Drosophila melanogaster: one gene and its partner. The protein of the gene in region 1 purifies or fractionates together with the protein of each later gene. This does not show direct contact. Each region holds a gene or a part of one and is shown on either strand. Other genes may lie near its edges.

Region 1 (6,722 bases):
CTTGCGTGCGTGCTGTTACAGTTTTTTATTGATGACCTCTAATTTATTTCGGCACTGGGCACGGTGGTTCCGTAGTATCCCTTTTGGCTGGTTGCCTACTAAGGTACGGCCGCCACACAACTTGTTGGGCGGTTTTTTTTGGGTGCATTCCACACCACTTAACGTATCCAACAAGCTGCCACACACCACCTTATCACTCTGGGCGCTCATATTACTCGTACTGCCGCAGGTAAACTGCTGCAATGGTTAATTATTGGTTTATTATACACAATCTTTTGCACTCGCGAATTGGCAAGGAGAGAAAAAAAAAAAAATTTTCCCACAAGCCGTACCGCCGCAGTGGGTTGATCGTGTTTTAATTATGTTATAGGTATCGTACAACTTTTGCGCTCGGCATGGGCGACGTGGCGTCCTCCGGTAGCGGGTCGTTGTTTTATTAATTTAAATTAGGTCTTGGCGCAACATAGGTTTACATTTTTATTTTAGAAATTTTACACCTTTTATTGAATTATGCAATATTTGTTGCGCCCCGGGATGGGCGTAGTTCCCCCCGGCAGCGGGTAATTGCTATTTTATCATTTTATACACAGCTCACGCAGCACTTCTTTTTCATTTATGGATTTCAGATCTTAATCTGACTTATGCACACCACCACTATTTTTACGCACAAATTTCCACAATTTTTTCGTATCACTTTTATCGGCCGGACATTGCCGGTCCCTGTTCGGGCGCCAGTTAACGCAAGTTCCACTTGCATCAGGGTTCTCGGCACTCGCTGCCGCATACCTCACCTTGATATGACAACCAACATGCTGTGGTTCTCCAAATAATAGTCAAGATAGTTAAGAGGGTTCGAGTTTACGATTAGCTTTATTTTAAGATTCAGTTCGCGATCTGCTAGCGGTTCCGTTATGTGTCCGTTCGAGACTGGGACCTCTTCTCCCGCCCCGCTGCTTTTATATCCGCTTCCCCCGTTGACCCCTCACCCTGAGTGCGACCAACGGCACTTGTTCCGAATGCACACATACACAAACATGTTCCTAGACAGGCCCCGAGTCGCCTGCTGACGGGGCCCGAAAACACGAGAGCCGAGCGCTGGTGAGTCCTGACGAAGATCGCAAGAAGAGGGTTCGTAACTTACACGAACATGTTACTAGACAGGCCCCGAGTCGCCTGCTGACGGGGCCCGAAAACACGAGAGCCGAGCGCTGGTGAGTCCTGACGAAGAGCGCAAGAAGAGGGTTCTTAACTTATATGTATATATTTGCATTACCTACATATATATGTATATATTAAGAAGCAATTTTAATTACTTAAAAAAAAAAACGCTTGCAAAATCGGTTCTTGCATGTATAAGCTATGAAAGTTAGAAAAAAGTATACCACGCCGTATATGGTCATGAAGCTGGCTCCAAGAAAGAGGCCAATGGCTCCACCAAACGACATTATCAACTGATCCGTGCTGAATACAACCCGCCGATTTATGCCCATCCTCGAAATTTGCAGGTTGATGATCAGCGTCCGCTCGAACCTCTCGCCAGAGTAGTTGTCATCGCCCTGAAGAAAGTAAATTCTAAATTGCAATAATTGGGGGCTTAAGGATACAACATTCTTTCACCCACCCCAGTCTGGTCAGACACTTTGAAGATGGTAAAGGTTTCCTCGCGACAAGACGGATAGCAATCGCATGGTCTTTCAAGCCACTTGGACCGGGCTAGGCAGAGCATTCCGGATACTGTGCAGATTGGAACTTCGGGAGCTGCTACGTAGAAATAGGGCTTGCAGTTGCACAGGCTCAGGGCCCATTTGATTCGGCACTCAAGTCGGCAAAGACTTGGGTGGTAGGGCTAAAAGGACATGTTGCTGTTTTGATTGGACGCAATTGGTACGGGTAAAGGTCTAAAACTCACACTGTAATACTGCAGATTGTTTTCGTCACTGAAGCGACACTTGCGATATGCTACCGGTAGATTTCGCACCTCGCTTTCCGCCGATGTGGTATGTAGCATAATATCGAGATCCTTGGATTCGATGTCTTTAGCATCAAAAGAGGGAGTTCGCATGTCGTCGGGTAGCATCATTTCTTCGACATCGTGAAGGTACTGTAAAGTTGGATTCGCTTAACAGTGTATTTCAAAAAAGAATGATAAATGCTGCCTACCATAAATATGGGGGCAACAATGCTATTTATAGGCTTCAGAGATGTGATGCAATTACTCAAATAGCCGCACTGTTTCATGGGTTCCATATCCTGTGTTTCTCTTAGATAAAAGCGTTAAGTAAAAATGTAAATGTAAATTCTCTTGATGGGCACAAAAAATATGTAAAGCAAAAAGCGAAATTAAAGAAAGAATAGCTTATTTATTTTATTATTTAATAATTTATTTTTTTTGTTTTATATTTAATGTTATTTAGGCGCAGACTTACAGTTTGCCGTAGGGATTTCCGTATCGGTTTAACTGGCTGGATGTTTGGCACAGACCCACCTCAGTAATGATTGGCGCCAGTTCTGGCGGGATTTTAACCGCTATTACCTTTTTTTGCAGCGTGAGCAAAATGTTCAAGTAATTCACGTTGTCCAAAGTGGTATCATTCTCGAAGGGTTCCAGCGTCTCCAGAGTGGAGTAACGAAGGCCGTTGATTGCAAGCAGAAACTTTCTGTAGTACACAGCTTTTTCTTTGTCTTCGCTGGGATCCACTCCCCAAGTTCTTGATATTTTATAATATATTAGTGCTTTCAATTTACCAATGTAAATCGAAACACTCACTGATTTATAAGCCTTGGGATCTCCGTTTCGTCGTGGTACCTAGGGCACAGTGTTATCCCCACGAAGGGGAAGATGCGCAGCCCAAAGAGATATTCGTACTCGTAGACAATAGGATTGTCCCGGAACCGGTACCATTGGTTAAGGCAGCTGCTGATGGCGTAGTAGGCCGAGCCCAGGATTATGAATGTCCAAAAGAGGCGCTCGGCCCAGTGTAGATCCCTGCGGGCGATGTAGGGCATGCCGTGGATGGAGGACTCCTGGCACAGCTCGGCGAGCCAGTCCGGTTGCTTCGGCCGACTCATTTTGGATTCCATGATGAACTGAACAGAAGTTCAGAAGTTCGCATTCAACTTTAGCGACCCGTGTAATGACACACAACAACACCACACCCTCCCCCCCCTCACCACCATTATTCACCTTGTTTGATGTGCTCCAATTATAGACTTTAATGGTGTTTCGCTGTATGTTCAGCATGCATATACAATTGTCGTGATTAGACCTGTCCTGCAGTTCCACGGAACTCTATGCAAATGGGAACTGGGCGCCTTACATTGCGCTTATCGAAGGCCTCTATTTGGACCACCAGCTTGTAGCGCCCATCCAGATTCGGAACATTCAAGCTGGTCTTCAAGTCCAGTTCGTAGTCTTTGTACTTTAAAACGGCCTACAATATTGTGTTTATGAGAAATGACCAGTGACCAAACTAGGAGGTACATTTTCTTACCCCTGGTGTGGTCAAGCACTTTTCCTTAATCTCGTCGGAGTTGCTAATATACTTTGTCCAGAAATTATACCAGTATTGGTTCTTATCAAACATGTTTTTGCAAAAGTTATTGGAGCTGGCCGTAAACATAGTCTTCTGCCAAGTGCCCTTATCCAGGCGATAGACTTGACCAAATACCTGCGCGATATTCAAATAGTTTATTAGGAAAAGTTTCCTTAGGGACTTGCCTTTAATGTGTCTCCAGGCTGGACATCTTTCCAGACCACTTTCTGCTCTCCTTCAATTCGAACTTTCGAACCAAGGTTATGTACTTTAAGGGAGGAAGTATCCACCATCGCTTCAAAACCAGAAGGATTTCCGGGCTGATTCTCGCATGGTGCTAACAAGCCATCTTTGTCCAATGTTAACTGGTACTCAGTCGCTCCAGCCAAACAGATGACCACTTGGAGCACCAGGATTGTAAAAGTAGCCTTCATATTAACAAGCTTTCCAGTATGAGGATGGGTACATAGTGCTAAAAACTGCACGTTATATACAGCTTAGGGGTCGTCTATGATTCTAATTGCACACAGTATAATATGATTATGATATGATAAAATCATTGTCTTTAATAATTTAAAAAGGGCGTATCTCTTTTGGCACGAAAATAAGTATGTTCGATTAAAAATTCGCGTGACTGTTTTTCTAAACTAAATATTAGACGAATGTCAAGTTCATAACCCCATTTACCCCATATATTTTCCGGAGTTTTGGCAGACAGCAAATTCATTTACCTGCCCGGCTAGCTCAGTCGGTAGAGCATGAGACTCTTAATCTCAGGGTCGTGGGTTCGAGCCCCACGTTGGGCGACCAATATTTTGTAGTAAATATTCAAATTTTAATAGTTAATTGATTACCAGAGAAAATCAATTGTCGAGACTCTCGACTATCGGATATCTTTTAATTAACTAATTAGGCTTAAAGCATATGCGAACATGGATGGATGTAATTATATATAAAAATGATTTTTATACCCGTTACTCGTAAATTAAATTGGTTGAGGAGTATGTAACAGGCATGAGGAAGCGTTTGCGACTATATAAAGTAGACATATTCTTAATCAGGATCAATAGCCTAGTCGATCTAGCCATGCCCGTCTGTCCGTATGAGCGTCGAGATCTATAAAAGCTAGAAGGTTGAGATTCAGCATACAGATTCTAGAGACTTGAGACAAAGACGCAGGGCAATTTTGTTGACCCATGCTGCCACGCTCACTGTAACGCCCTAAAACCGCCAAAATCGGCTGCGCCCACATATATTTGAAAAATTGTTGGACATTTTTTCATAATGTTATTAGTTGCTTAAATTTCTATAGATTTGCTAAAAAAAAACTTTTTGCCACGTCCACTCTAACGTTCTAAACCTTTCCAATTTTTCTATATCTATCAATATCCCAGAAAAATTATGAAATTTCGCGTTCGCATTCACACTAGCTGAGAAACGGGTATCTGATAGTCAGGGAACACGACTTTAGAATTCTATCTTGTTTTTCATTTCTAAACAAAATACTAGACGCATGTCTATAGTTCCTAACCCCATTTGATATATTTTCCCGAGTTTTGACAGACGGCAATTTTGTTTACCTGCCCGGCTAGCTCAGTCGGTAGAGCATGAGACTCTTAATCTCAGGGTCGTGGGTTCGAGCCCCACGTTGGGCGACCAATATTTTGTAGTAAATATACAAATTTTAATAGTTAATTGATTACCAGAGGAAACCCATTATGTCGAGACTCTCGACTATCACATATCCTTTACTTAACTAATTAGGCTTAAAGCCGATGTGCTCATGTACATATAATTATATAAATGATTTATTATGGTTTATGATTTTTTATAAATCAATTTATCTATAAATTACAATTTATTTATCTTGTCAAAACCTGCTGAATAGAATTATTTTTAAATAGGTAGATAAAAATGCATGTAAGGATAAGCTGGCTTGATCTTTATCTAAATGCAAATGGGCTTTAAACTTGACTAGATGGGCGAGGGACTAGTCAATACGCTTTCGTCTTGTTTTTAGCACCACAGGGTTTTTATACCACCATTATTCTTTAAGCTTATAGTATAAGTTTAAATTTAAAACTATTACGATTTCGATGATTTTGACAGTCAGATGTCAAGAACACATGCCCGGCTAGCTCAGTCGGTAGAGCATGAGACTCTTAATCTCAGGGTCGTGGGTTCGAGCCCCACGTTGGGCGATGTTTTTTATTTTAATTCAAAATTAATATACAATTAATAAACATTTTTTGAGCTCCACTTTCGGCAATTGATTTTTTACTAATTGGAAAATTATTAAGCATATTTAATTTGCCTAAAATGAGTCCCAATTAATTTGGAAGCTAAAAATAGTTTGTGTATATATGATACAAATGCATCTTGTGAATCTGCATAACCATTTCGAATAAAACAAAAGGCTAAAGGTATTACAACAATGTTTCTAGGTTTGACAGCAAAGCGCCCGTTGCCTTTAATCCGGCTTATATGCGCATGTATAAATATGCTTTCTCATATTTAGCAATGTGTTTATAGAAGTAATTTATAATTTTTATACCCGTATACCAAAGACACTAGAATAACTAGAATTTACTATAATAACACTAGAATTCTAGGGTCTTTGCTTATACTATATTCGTTAAAAAGTATGTACCAGGCAGAAGGAAGCGTTTGCGACCATTTTCTTATGTTTTTCTCATATTATTCCCCAATATCAATCGATAAGCCAGAAAAAATAAGGAAATTTCTAGTTGACATTGCCACTAGCTGAGTAACGGGTATCTGATAGTCGGGAAACTAGACTAAAACATTTTCTCTTGTTTTGTTATGAGTTGAATATTTACGATAAATATTCTATATTGTCAATGTAATTTATGTAAAGTAAATTTGGGCCTAAACTTATTTGTTGCAAGCTAATTGGCGACAATTCTTTGGCTACTTTTAAAAGGCTATTGATTCTCTCTTGGTAATATTTTGATCCTTTAAATTCTCTTTATATCAATTTGTATGATTCTTAAGCTTAATCAGCAAATGTGAGCTTTTATCGGCGATCTTCACAAGTGCCCGGCTAGCTCAGTCGGTAGAGCATGAGACTCTTAATCTCAGGGTCGTGGGTTCGAGCCCCACGTTGGGCGAATTTTCTTTTTTATATTTAGAAAATAGTTTTATTAAAAATGTTCACTAATTGCTTTC
Region 2 (9,372 bases), about 17 Mb from region 1:
TGATGTATCGCCCAGTGCTATCGGAATAAAAAGTGTCTCGAATGGAACGCGGAATTGAAACGAGTGTAATGAGTTTATATTTTTATTTATTCTTAATTTGAAATTAGGCTTTAAGAAATCTTTTTTTTTTGTTGAAAATGTTAAATACTAGTTGATATATTTTAAGTTTAATTAAAATTCAGATTTACATTTTTTTAACTACATTTCATAGCGGTCGTTGTAAATATTTTTATCTTCTTGTTAGTTCAGTTAGTTCAATTTTGTTAGTTCAATCTAATATTTATTTATGATTATGCAAGTAATTTATATCTGCTAGCTGAAGAAATACTTATTTGAATTTTCTCTATCAACTTACTAAACCGATTTACAAGACAATTGGTATATCGATTGATTGGCATTTGGCTTAAAAAATTATCGATTATTCTTCTAATCTTACAACTTATGAAAATTGTTTTTATTGTTTTTGTACTTTTACTTGACCTTTCCGAAAGTCGGTACATCAATGTTGAAATGTTATTTAACAACGGCATTTAAACCGTACATATGTACATGTACATACATAAATTGGTACTATACGAAATTCCGACCTGCCTCAAACAATATGCCTCCTCCATTCTCTATATCCGAGTACCTTATCTTTTTCAGGATACACTACACTTTTAAATGGGGTGTAGCAAAGCTCAGTAGCGTTGTCAATAATACAAGTTCATCTTGTACCCATTCAAAACCGGTAGCGTCACCCCATCTGGTTCCCGCCGTTTACCATCACAATGCTAAGTGACGCCATTCATTCGTGCGTCCAGACCAACATTTTGTTTACTTTTCCCATTTAGCTGTGCGAATTAGAATAAAGTTTGCTGAAATAAAGAGCTTAAACCCAATGAAAAACAGGAGAATCATAGTTTTACGGATGACGTTTAGGTAAAAAATTTTATTGGCAAACGTGTATCTTGTTACTTAGTTATTCAAACATGATGCTTCGAGTTTCTGTTATATTAATTACAATCGTTAGAACCAGATTTAAGATGTAGAGCCAACTAGCCTATAACAGCATCTTTGAATAAATTTGTTTCAGATGTAAATGCAACAGAAATTTACAGCGACACATTTTGCCTATTTGTCCAGAGCAGTATTGGTTTTAATTGCGATAACGCACTCCTCTCCGCACGCCTTGAGAACGGTGCACTGAAAAAGTATAATTAAATTATTCTCTGCGAAATAATAATATGGTGTCGAGGCAAACTCACCAGTAAGTCCTTGCCACTATCAAAATCTAAACGCAATTGTTCACCCAATTCGCCCTCTGGAACCTTCAAGTCTTCACGCAGATCTCCGCTCTCGGTCATCAATGTAAGGAAGCTATCGTCACTAATAGCAATCAACTGAAGGTCCTCCCTTTTGACATTGGGCACATCCATGTTATGAGTAGATGGGCAAATATCTTCATATCTGCAAAGACGACGATAGACAAAGCAGGCGTTAAGTAAGAGGATCTGGATTTGGCTTGAGGTGGCGTCGCCGCGTTGAACTCTAATTTTCCTCCATAAATTTATTGATAACTTTGGTCCAAGATAAGATTGCTTGCGCACACTTTTCGTTGATTACATTCAAGAGCAGCGCGTCGCTTCCTTTGTGTTCTCCGCAAATGCTGCTGCCACCAGATAGGAAGAAATATGCGAATATACTCACTTCTTGTTAGAGAAAATATCAATGCCAACCATATGAACCTTGGCGTGTCCGTGCTTTCCAGTCTTTGAAGTAGACATCTCGACAATCTTGCATGGCCGCGACTTCAGCATGACGAATCCGTTTTTGCGCAATGCCGAACATTGCATGGGATAGGTCGTCGATGCGCCGGAATCCGTGGTCTCGAATTGATCGTCCAACTCAGCCATATCTGCCGCACAAGACACAAGATGTGATTGAATTAATTATTTATCTATTTAATTAACTGCCGATTAATTGGGATTTGAATGCATTTACACTTAGGCACAAAGACACTAGCTGGTGTTGAAAGCACATTATATACCTCGGCGTTCTATGGGTACATACAGACACAGACGGATTCGCACATATGTATGTAAATACGTGTGTGTGCAAGCCGAAAAAATGCATACATACGTATGTATATATGTGTCGGCAAATGTATGTATCCGAAATGTCATATGCCAAATTGCATACCCAGGCACTTGGCACTTTAGTGTTCAAACATTTAATTTGGCAAAGTCATCGAGACACACGGCACTTGAAAGTTGTGTACTGCATTTTTGCACTTGTATGTGTGTATGTGTGCTTGTGTGAGTGTAAGCACTTTCTTTCGCATATTACTGAATGTGCCGAGATGACCGGAGGTTAATTCTGGCTTCCAAGCCGTTTTTGACCGTCTCCTCCGGCTGTAAGTGCCATTTAGGTCGTCCGCCGCTTCTCCGGCGAATTTGCAATTTTTTTATACACAAAAATGCGAAATTACTAACCTACTTGCAAAGTCCAGTGACTGTTCCAACCGAAGATGTAAAATGAAAGAACCCTGCTATCGAATCAAACCCACGTTTTGTTTCCGGTCAATAATAAGAAACGCACAGTGCTGCATCTTAGCACACGGATTGTCAGCACCGGTCGCTGTGCCAGTTTAGGAACTGTGGGAATGGAACGATAAGGCCGATGCCGTATTTTCGCCAAACTTACAATGGCCTGCCAACTCAGTCTTAAATTTGAAAACAACTATTTATAAGCTATATGTGTATGTATGTATGTATGTTGCAAGTAAACACTTAATTTTTTGTTTTATTATGTATTTGGTGCTTAAAATGTCTCTGTAAGTATAAATAATGGTTAAGACTTTAGTTTGCTCTGTTCATTTACACAATGTATACGCATGACTCGAAGACTATAGCAATTTACTGCTGATTTACTTTTTTAAAATAAACCTCAATGGGCAACGACGGTATGAAATTATCGTTTTCCAGGTGCGACATTTTTCTGGACCTTTGCGGCTTTGACCTTGCCTTAATATGGGGCTGCCTCATTTTTAAAGTACCACTGGAAATAGTCATAATTGCCGATTCTGTGACCAAAGCGTGTTTTTCTTCTGATATACCATCGGCGCGAGATTTTGCCAAAGTGTGACTTATCGCCTGCGTAGCGTTTCGAACGATAACATTATCATCGACCTTCGTCGATTTCCGGGGTGTTGCTGTTGTTCGGCGCTTAAGCTTTTTTATCGTTTCGATATCGGTATCAGCTGTTGTGTTTTTCGCGGCTTCTGGCATTGCAGTGGAGTTCAAGTGCTTGCGCCGTTGGTAAATTCTTTTCGGTAAACTCTTTTTGAATTCTCCCATGGCTTTGCTGGAATCTGTAGAATTTCTCGAAATCTGCACCGGAACCTTTTTGGTCGATGCCAAAACTCGCAGTTTTCTCAGTTTTCTATTGACGTTTGTTCTTCTTCTTGGCGGTGTGGGCGTAGTTGTTGTTGTAGTCGTTTCCAAAGTGGTGTGGTTGTCAAGAACAGCTGTAGTCGTTAGATTCTGAACGTTCTTCGGCGTTTCCCTAGTTGTAACCAGGTTTTTAAGATGAAGCTTCAAAAGTTTCAGTTTAGTTTCAATGCTTGAAGAGAAGTTTTTGGTCGCTTTCAGGGATTTTAGTCTGTGCTTATAGGATCCTGTCGTAACATTCGCCGTGGAATAGACGTTCTGAGCGGGTTGCGGAGTTGTCCATTTCGGGGGATCCTCAGAAGCCGCAGCTTCGGTTGTTGTGGTGCTGGAGGTAGTGGGGCTAAACCAGCTTGGTCGGGTGCTATATCTGTACTCCATTTCCAAAGCAGTGGTTTTCCCCGGAAAAGTGAATTCAGTGGTCGTGGTTGTTGTAGTTGGAGGCGGCGTGGTGTGCTGAAACCGCTCGGTGAAAAGCTCCTGGGGCCTTTCCGTTGTGAGAATTTGGTGACTGGGCCGAAATTGCTGGTCTTGTGCTGGAGATTTGCCGAGTTTCGATGCGGAATGGGGGAGAATCACGTCGTCAAGGGTGAAGTAGGTGTGCGCAACGTAGTTGAAGTAGGGCAAAGTGGTTGTCGTGGTCACCGGCAGGTCACTGGTCTTGCTCTGCGAGCTGTATTGGTCCTTGGCATACTCCTGGAACGGAATCTGGAGGCAGTTTTCGCGGCACTTGTTCCAGCCGTCGTTGGAGGCGTGGGTTTCGGAGTGGTTCCACAGACTCGGAGCGCCAATGAGGCGTTCTGCGCTCGGAAGGGTTCCCGTCGTGAGGGGCACGAAGGCGTTGACTGGGGCTGAACTGAAACCAATAGGTGCGTTTACCGGAGGGGAACTGTACTCAATCGTGTTGAGCGGGGCCGCAACGAAGTCAACGGTGGAAGTAGCAATGGGCAGGAGTGTGCTCTTGAACCCATTCACTTGGCTCAAGTCCCTGAAGATGCTCCTGAAAGAAATCCACTATGATTATACGTATGCACAAATGGATGATATGTGCGCTGATATAGACCTCTTCGAGTTCGCATAGGCCTCGTGGAACTGGACAGGTGAGGGCACGTATCGGGGCAGCATGTGCATGTTGCGCATGTAGTTTTTTAGACGCATTTTGCCCACCAGGATCGGGGTCCTAGCGTTGTACCAGTAGAACTTTCGCATGGCGTTCGGGTGCTGTCTATAGAGGACGATCCCTGGATGATCCACGGGCCACATCTGAAAGTCGATGCGGGCGTTCATACTTTCGCTTTTCCTGGCGTCGAATGCTTACCTGGCGTTTTGGCCTCATGTAGCTGGCGGATGACTTTATGCTCAGCAGTATGTACAGCAGTCCTGAAGCGAAGCGGGTGAGCTTAATTCGAATTTATTGATTTTAACCTCCATACCAGTGGTCATGTAAATGACAATAATGCTGCCTTTCACTTTCCCCAGCATCTTGAGCGATTGATTTTGGCTGCAGACAGTTCAAGACTAGCAGCATTGGTTTTTCATCCACATTACTTGCTACTTGGCTGGGAATCAAAGAGATGATCGACTTTTCAGGGATATATGCATTTGCCAGATCACTCACACTTGTGGTAAATGTGCATTTAATTTTCTTATTATATTTTATCCGCCTAGGTTCCCGAGTGAATGATTGTTGCCAAGTCAGTGCCCAGATGCTGCATCCAAATGGTGGCGTGTGTGCTATGGAGCATAAAACGCAACGCTTGGACAAGCCCATCTTCAGTTATAATTGTTGCATCTATATAGTTGGATACACTTTCAAAAGGTATGCACACTTTCGCAGCCCAACGAACCGATTCCCTCGCATCTTTGATACCCATTAGTGCATCTGAACATTGCGTGCAGTATGCAGTTGCATTTCAAAGCTACGAGTATGTTTTCTTCTTATCTCTCCATTAATCTAAACGACACGCTCGATTTGCATCAGAACTTGCGTGCATCCCTCCGTATTTAAATAAAGGATGGACATCATATATTTTCGAATTAGTCACGAAGAAATTGTGGAAAGGATTTCATGAATACGAAATGTGGCGGAAGTCAGTAATGAATTTTCGAGGATTTATAAGGTCTTTTGTGGAAAATAAAGGGTAAGAGTCAGCGATTCGAGGATATTGTCTACGGTTCGCAAAACCATCACTCTTTGCAGGCTGCTTTGGATTTTTGTGATTGGCATTTCTGGATGGAGCACCGTTTCCATATTGGTTCTATTGAAAACCAGATACGAAACGGACTCCACGACAATAGGGGTCTCGACCGCCTACAGTCGCTGGATAAACACCTTCCCATCGATAGGAATCTGCTTAACAAAAAGCCGAGCGTTTAACGAATTCAAGGCAATGATGCGGGAGTATTTTCAGGAAGACTTTGCCTTCTCCTTTACAAGAATGATATACGAATATGCTTTTCTCAACCCCAACAACATATTTACGAAGGAGCCTACCAAGAATACAAGTTACCCGTACAATTTCAATATTTTGGATATAAGAAGAAAGGTGTCGGTGTCGCATGGGGGGGGGGGGGACTTTGGATTATATTTGAACTAAATTACCATTTGCACTTCTAGATGTTTCCAACCAATTGTACTGAATGCTTTAAAGAAATATACTTTCGTGGCGAATTGGTGACAGACTGCGAGGAGATATTCAAGTTTCATGTGACGGAAATGGGCTACTGCTTTCTGGCGAACAATCTATTGGACTAGTTAGTGTTAATATTTAGTAGTTCAAATCGCGAATAAAATAAATGCCTACTCCAGTGACAGCATCGAAGAAATGCCTCTCAGGTATTCTTCGTTGGATAACAACCGAAGTCTGCGACTCTACATGCGAAGTTCTGTTATGTATAAATATGAGGTGAGATGGGATACGTTTCGCTGGGCTAACACATAGCTAACAAAATAACACTTGTGCTCATCATCTAAGATGTACGTCAACAGTCCCGAGGATCTGCCCTTCTTCAATTCCTTGACCTATACCATCTCCACCGACCCCACAACATACGCCTTCAACGTCGAGGAGATTCACAACCACGAAGGTGTCATCGACGAGCCCATTTCCCAGCGCAAGTGCAAGTTCCCCAGCGAGAGTTCCATCGAGGGGTTTCCTTACAGGTAGGAGTAGGTGAGTGAGTTACTCATCCGGAGTTACCTGCTTCTGCTTCTTCTTTTTCTGTTCCACGCAGCTTCTCGGCCTGCATGTCTATCATCCGGAGTGAGTTTGAGATGAAAACTTGCGACTGCTCTCTATTCAACCCAAAGGATCGCAGTACGTGAGGCACTTGAATGATGAAAGTAAAGGTGACTTCATTGCCCTGTTTCTTTTGCAGACGAAAGTCTCTATTGCGGATTGCAACACGCGGATTGCTTGATTAAAGGTGACTATGTCTTAGACTTTGACCGATGAAATCCGTTGTCAATGTTAATGATAATCGAATTACAGAAGGGTTTGCAACCAGAGTTAAGGAGTACGTCGGTAGCAGTACGGTTTGCCTGCCATCCTGCGTGGAGCAGCAGATAAGTCTAGTGGGGTAAAGGCCCCAAAATAGTTTATATCCTTGCTAATAGCCCATCTTCTCTGGCAGGGTCATAACTGAAAATGGAACACTCTACAATAATAATACACAGATCACCGAAATTCAAATAGCCTCTCCACCCACGGTGCGGTACGAACGAAAAGTCACCCAGACCAAGCTGGATCTAATAGGTATGCCTGCTGCCAACCCAATCGGCTAACTTCGGAACTAATCCCGCCGAATCCCGTTTCAGTCGGCATCGGAAGTGTGGCAGGACTCTTCTTCGGCGCCTCCCTGCTGAACCTACTGGAGATCATTTCGTACTTCATTAAAAAACTCAAGACCATGATTTTCGGTTAGGACCTTTATTGCTTTTCGCTCTTTAGCCTCGCAACAGCTTGTGCACAAATAAATAAGATAATTCGGATTGAGCGAGCATAAGTGAGCCCTAATTATTATTATCGAACAAGTCAAGGTGATAGTTTGCGATTTCGTTTTCTATAAAGATATTAAGGTCTCGGGAGTTATCATTCTTAACTTTATGCACAGAAGTATTAACATTTTGTTTCTTATAACGCAGCCCGACTCTGAAAAGAAGTACGTAAGACAGCATTCTCCCGCAACGTGGTATTCGCTTACATTCTTATAGAGGGTATGTCAGGAGAGCTCCTCATTTTGTCGGAGGACTTTGCTCTCAGGTAGCGGTGCTTGATATCGACGCCAGAGTGCTCGTCCTGAAAGGAACAGGATATGGCCACCGTTCAGTTATGCACTCACTGCAACGAGGTCCGCTTACTCACATCTCTCATGTTATAGGTGATTACCAGGTTGCTAACGAAGCTCTCCAGGAACTCCGGATACGAGTCCAGCACGTCCAGCAAATCGTCCCTGTGCAGTTTGTGGATATCACAGTATGTCAGTGCTCTCACCACGCCGTTCGACTTTCCGACCGTTGGGTAAATACACGGATTTTCGCCAAATATATCGTTTTTACCTTGAGCAAGAGGAGTTTTGATTAATTATCAATTGCAAATGCCAACGAACTATAACTTCTTATGCAGTAGTAATTAAAGTAAACTCTGAATGTACGGAAAATCTAGCATGCAACTATATCTCTATAGAACACAGTTCACAACTAGAAAAAAAGAAGAGGTAGAGAGTGTCTTATTTATGAGTTTAATTTTATGTACGACAGTTGGTCCGAAATCACTGAACTCACCAAGTACAACAATATTGCCGGCTCTCTGGATTTCTATGGATCCCCTGGCTATGAAGTACAATGAGGTGAGCACATCTCCTCGGTGTACTAGGATATCGCCAGGCGGGGCATGGGTGGTTTTAAACTTAAGGGAGAACGCTCTGCAAGTTCAAGTACTCGTTCATTTTCCATACTGGTTCGCTTGGACACAAACTCACCGTAGGCAACCAGGACTTGCCTCCGAGAAAGCGGCACATGTCGTCAATAGCTTTCTGTTCAAATGCAGGCAAATGTCGGCTTGCAGGCACTCGGGGAATCCCTTGAGCAGCGAGTTCATGTCGATGCCATTCGTATCTGAAAGGGCAGTGGATTATTAGAGGATTAGGCTAGGGAAGAGGAAGGAGGTCAGATGGTATTACAGGTCCAGGCGTGCTGAAAGTACTCCTCCAGTCTCTGCCTGAGCGGGTTCGGTATCTGCAGAATAGGAATAGGTGCTCAGTTCTATACTTATAGGATGTGCGTGCTCAATACCTGGTGAAAGCGAATGAACTCCCTAACGCGCAGCATTTGCGTGTGATATCTGGCGGTTCCCGAGTACAGCCTTTGAATAATGGCAGATACGTTTCCAAAAATACTTGCATACATAAGAGCTTGAGGGGGGAAATTAAAGGTCTCATTACACGTATTTAAAGAAATATATCGATGTTGCCTACATCCAACGAGCATCACGCAAATAGTGAATGCCTTTTCAGCATCAGTATTCGGTGCCACATTGCCAAATCCCACGGAAGTGAGCGAGGTGAACGTGAAATACAAAGCCGTGATATAGCGCGACTGCAAGAGGATCGGTTTAGAGTCATGCGGATTACGAGTAGATGGACGGAGGGAAACTCTACCTTTATAGAGGGACCACCAGTGCGGTTGTCGAAATAGGGTTCTTGAATATCGTAGGCCAACGAATTGAGCCAACCGATGTTCTTGGAAGCGATAGACTTTTCCGCATTTCCAATCGCATACCTTAAATAGAGTTAAGCAATTCCAAAAACAAATCGACTATTATCAGGCTAGTTTACCATATGCATGCCAACCAATGGGCAATCAAAATAAAGGTCGCCATCAACAAAATAAGAACTGCGGCTCCGTATTCCGAATAACGATCTATTTTTCGGGCCACGCGAACGA

The links.
Region 2: the proteins of ppk25 (region 1) and ppk29 purify together in Drosophila melanogaster (affinity purification with western blotting; one study listed by BioGRID). This does not show direct contact.

The regions. Positions count from the first base shown.
Region 1 is NT_033778.4:6,946,750-6,953,471, reverse strand, and holds ppk25 (pickpocket 25), read right to left. Parts: upstream 3,088-6,722; 5' UTR 3,082-3,087; coding exon 2,768-3,081; intron 2,709-2,767; coding exon 2,427-2,708; intron 2,261-2,426; coding exon 2,161-2,260; intron 2,102-2,160; coding exon 1,910-2,101; intron 1,847-1,909; coding exon 1,622-1,846; intron 1,557-1,621; coding exon 1,314-1,556; downstream 1-1,313. Other genes in the region: CheB42a (chemosensory protein B 42a), read right to left, coding at 3,261-3,431, 3,492-3,668, 3,719-3,967.
Region 2 is NT_033778.4:24,051,009-24,060,380, reverse strand, and holds ppk29 (pickpocket 29), read left to right. Parts: upstream 1-4,428; intron 4,429-4,491; coding exon of another isoform or gene 4,492-4,691; intron 4,692-4,746; coding exon of another isoform or gene 4,747-4,808; intron 4,809-4,861; coding exon of another isoform or gene 4,862-4,910; exon of another isoform or gene 4,911-5,075; intron 5,076-5,096; 5' UTR 5,097-5,247; intron 5,248-5,409; 5' UTR 5,410-5,507; coding exon 5,508-5,569; intron 5,570-5,628; coding exon 5,629-5,974; intron 5,975-6,045; coding exon 6,046-6,182; intron 6,183-6,237; coding exon 6,238-6,334; intron 6,335-6,403; coding exon 6,404-6,591; intron 6,592-6,662; coding exon 6,663-6,745; coding exon of another isoform or gene 6,746-6,753; exon of another isoform or gene 6,754-6,806; coding exon 6,807-6,854; intron 6,855-6,919; coding exon 6,920-7,007; intron 7,008-7,061; coding exon 7,062-7,183; intron 7,184-7,245; coding exon 7,246-7,352; 3' UTR 7,353-7,440; downstream 7,441-9,372. Other genes in the region: eEF5 (eukaryotic translation elongation factor 5), read right to left, coding at 1,114-1,185, 1,248-1,449, 1,690-1,895; CG13563 (uncharacterized protein), read right to left, coding at 2,898-4,428, 4,492-4,691, 4,747-4,808, 4,862-4,910; sei (seizure), read right to left, coding at 7,441-7,579, 7,632-7,726, 7,793-7,986, 8,212-8,351, 8,409-8,544, 8,610-8,664, 8,722-8,840, 8,904-9,024 and 2 more.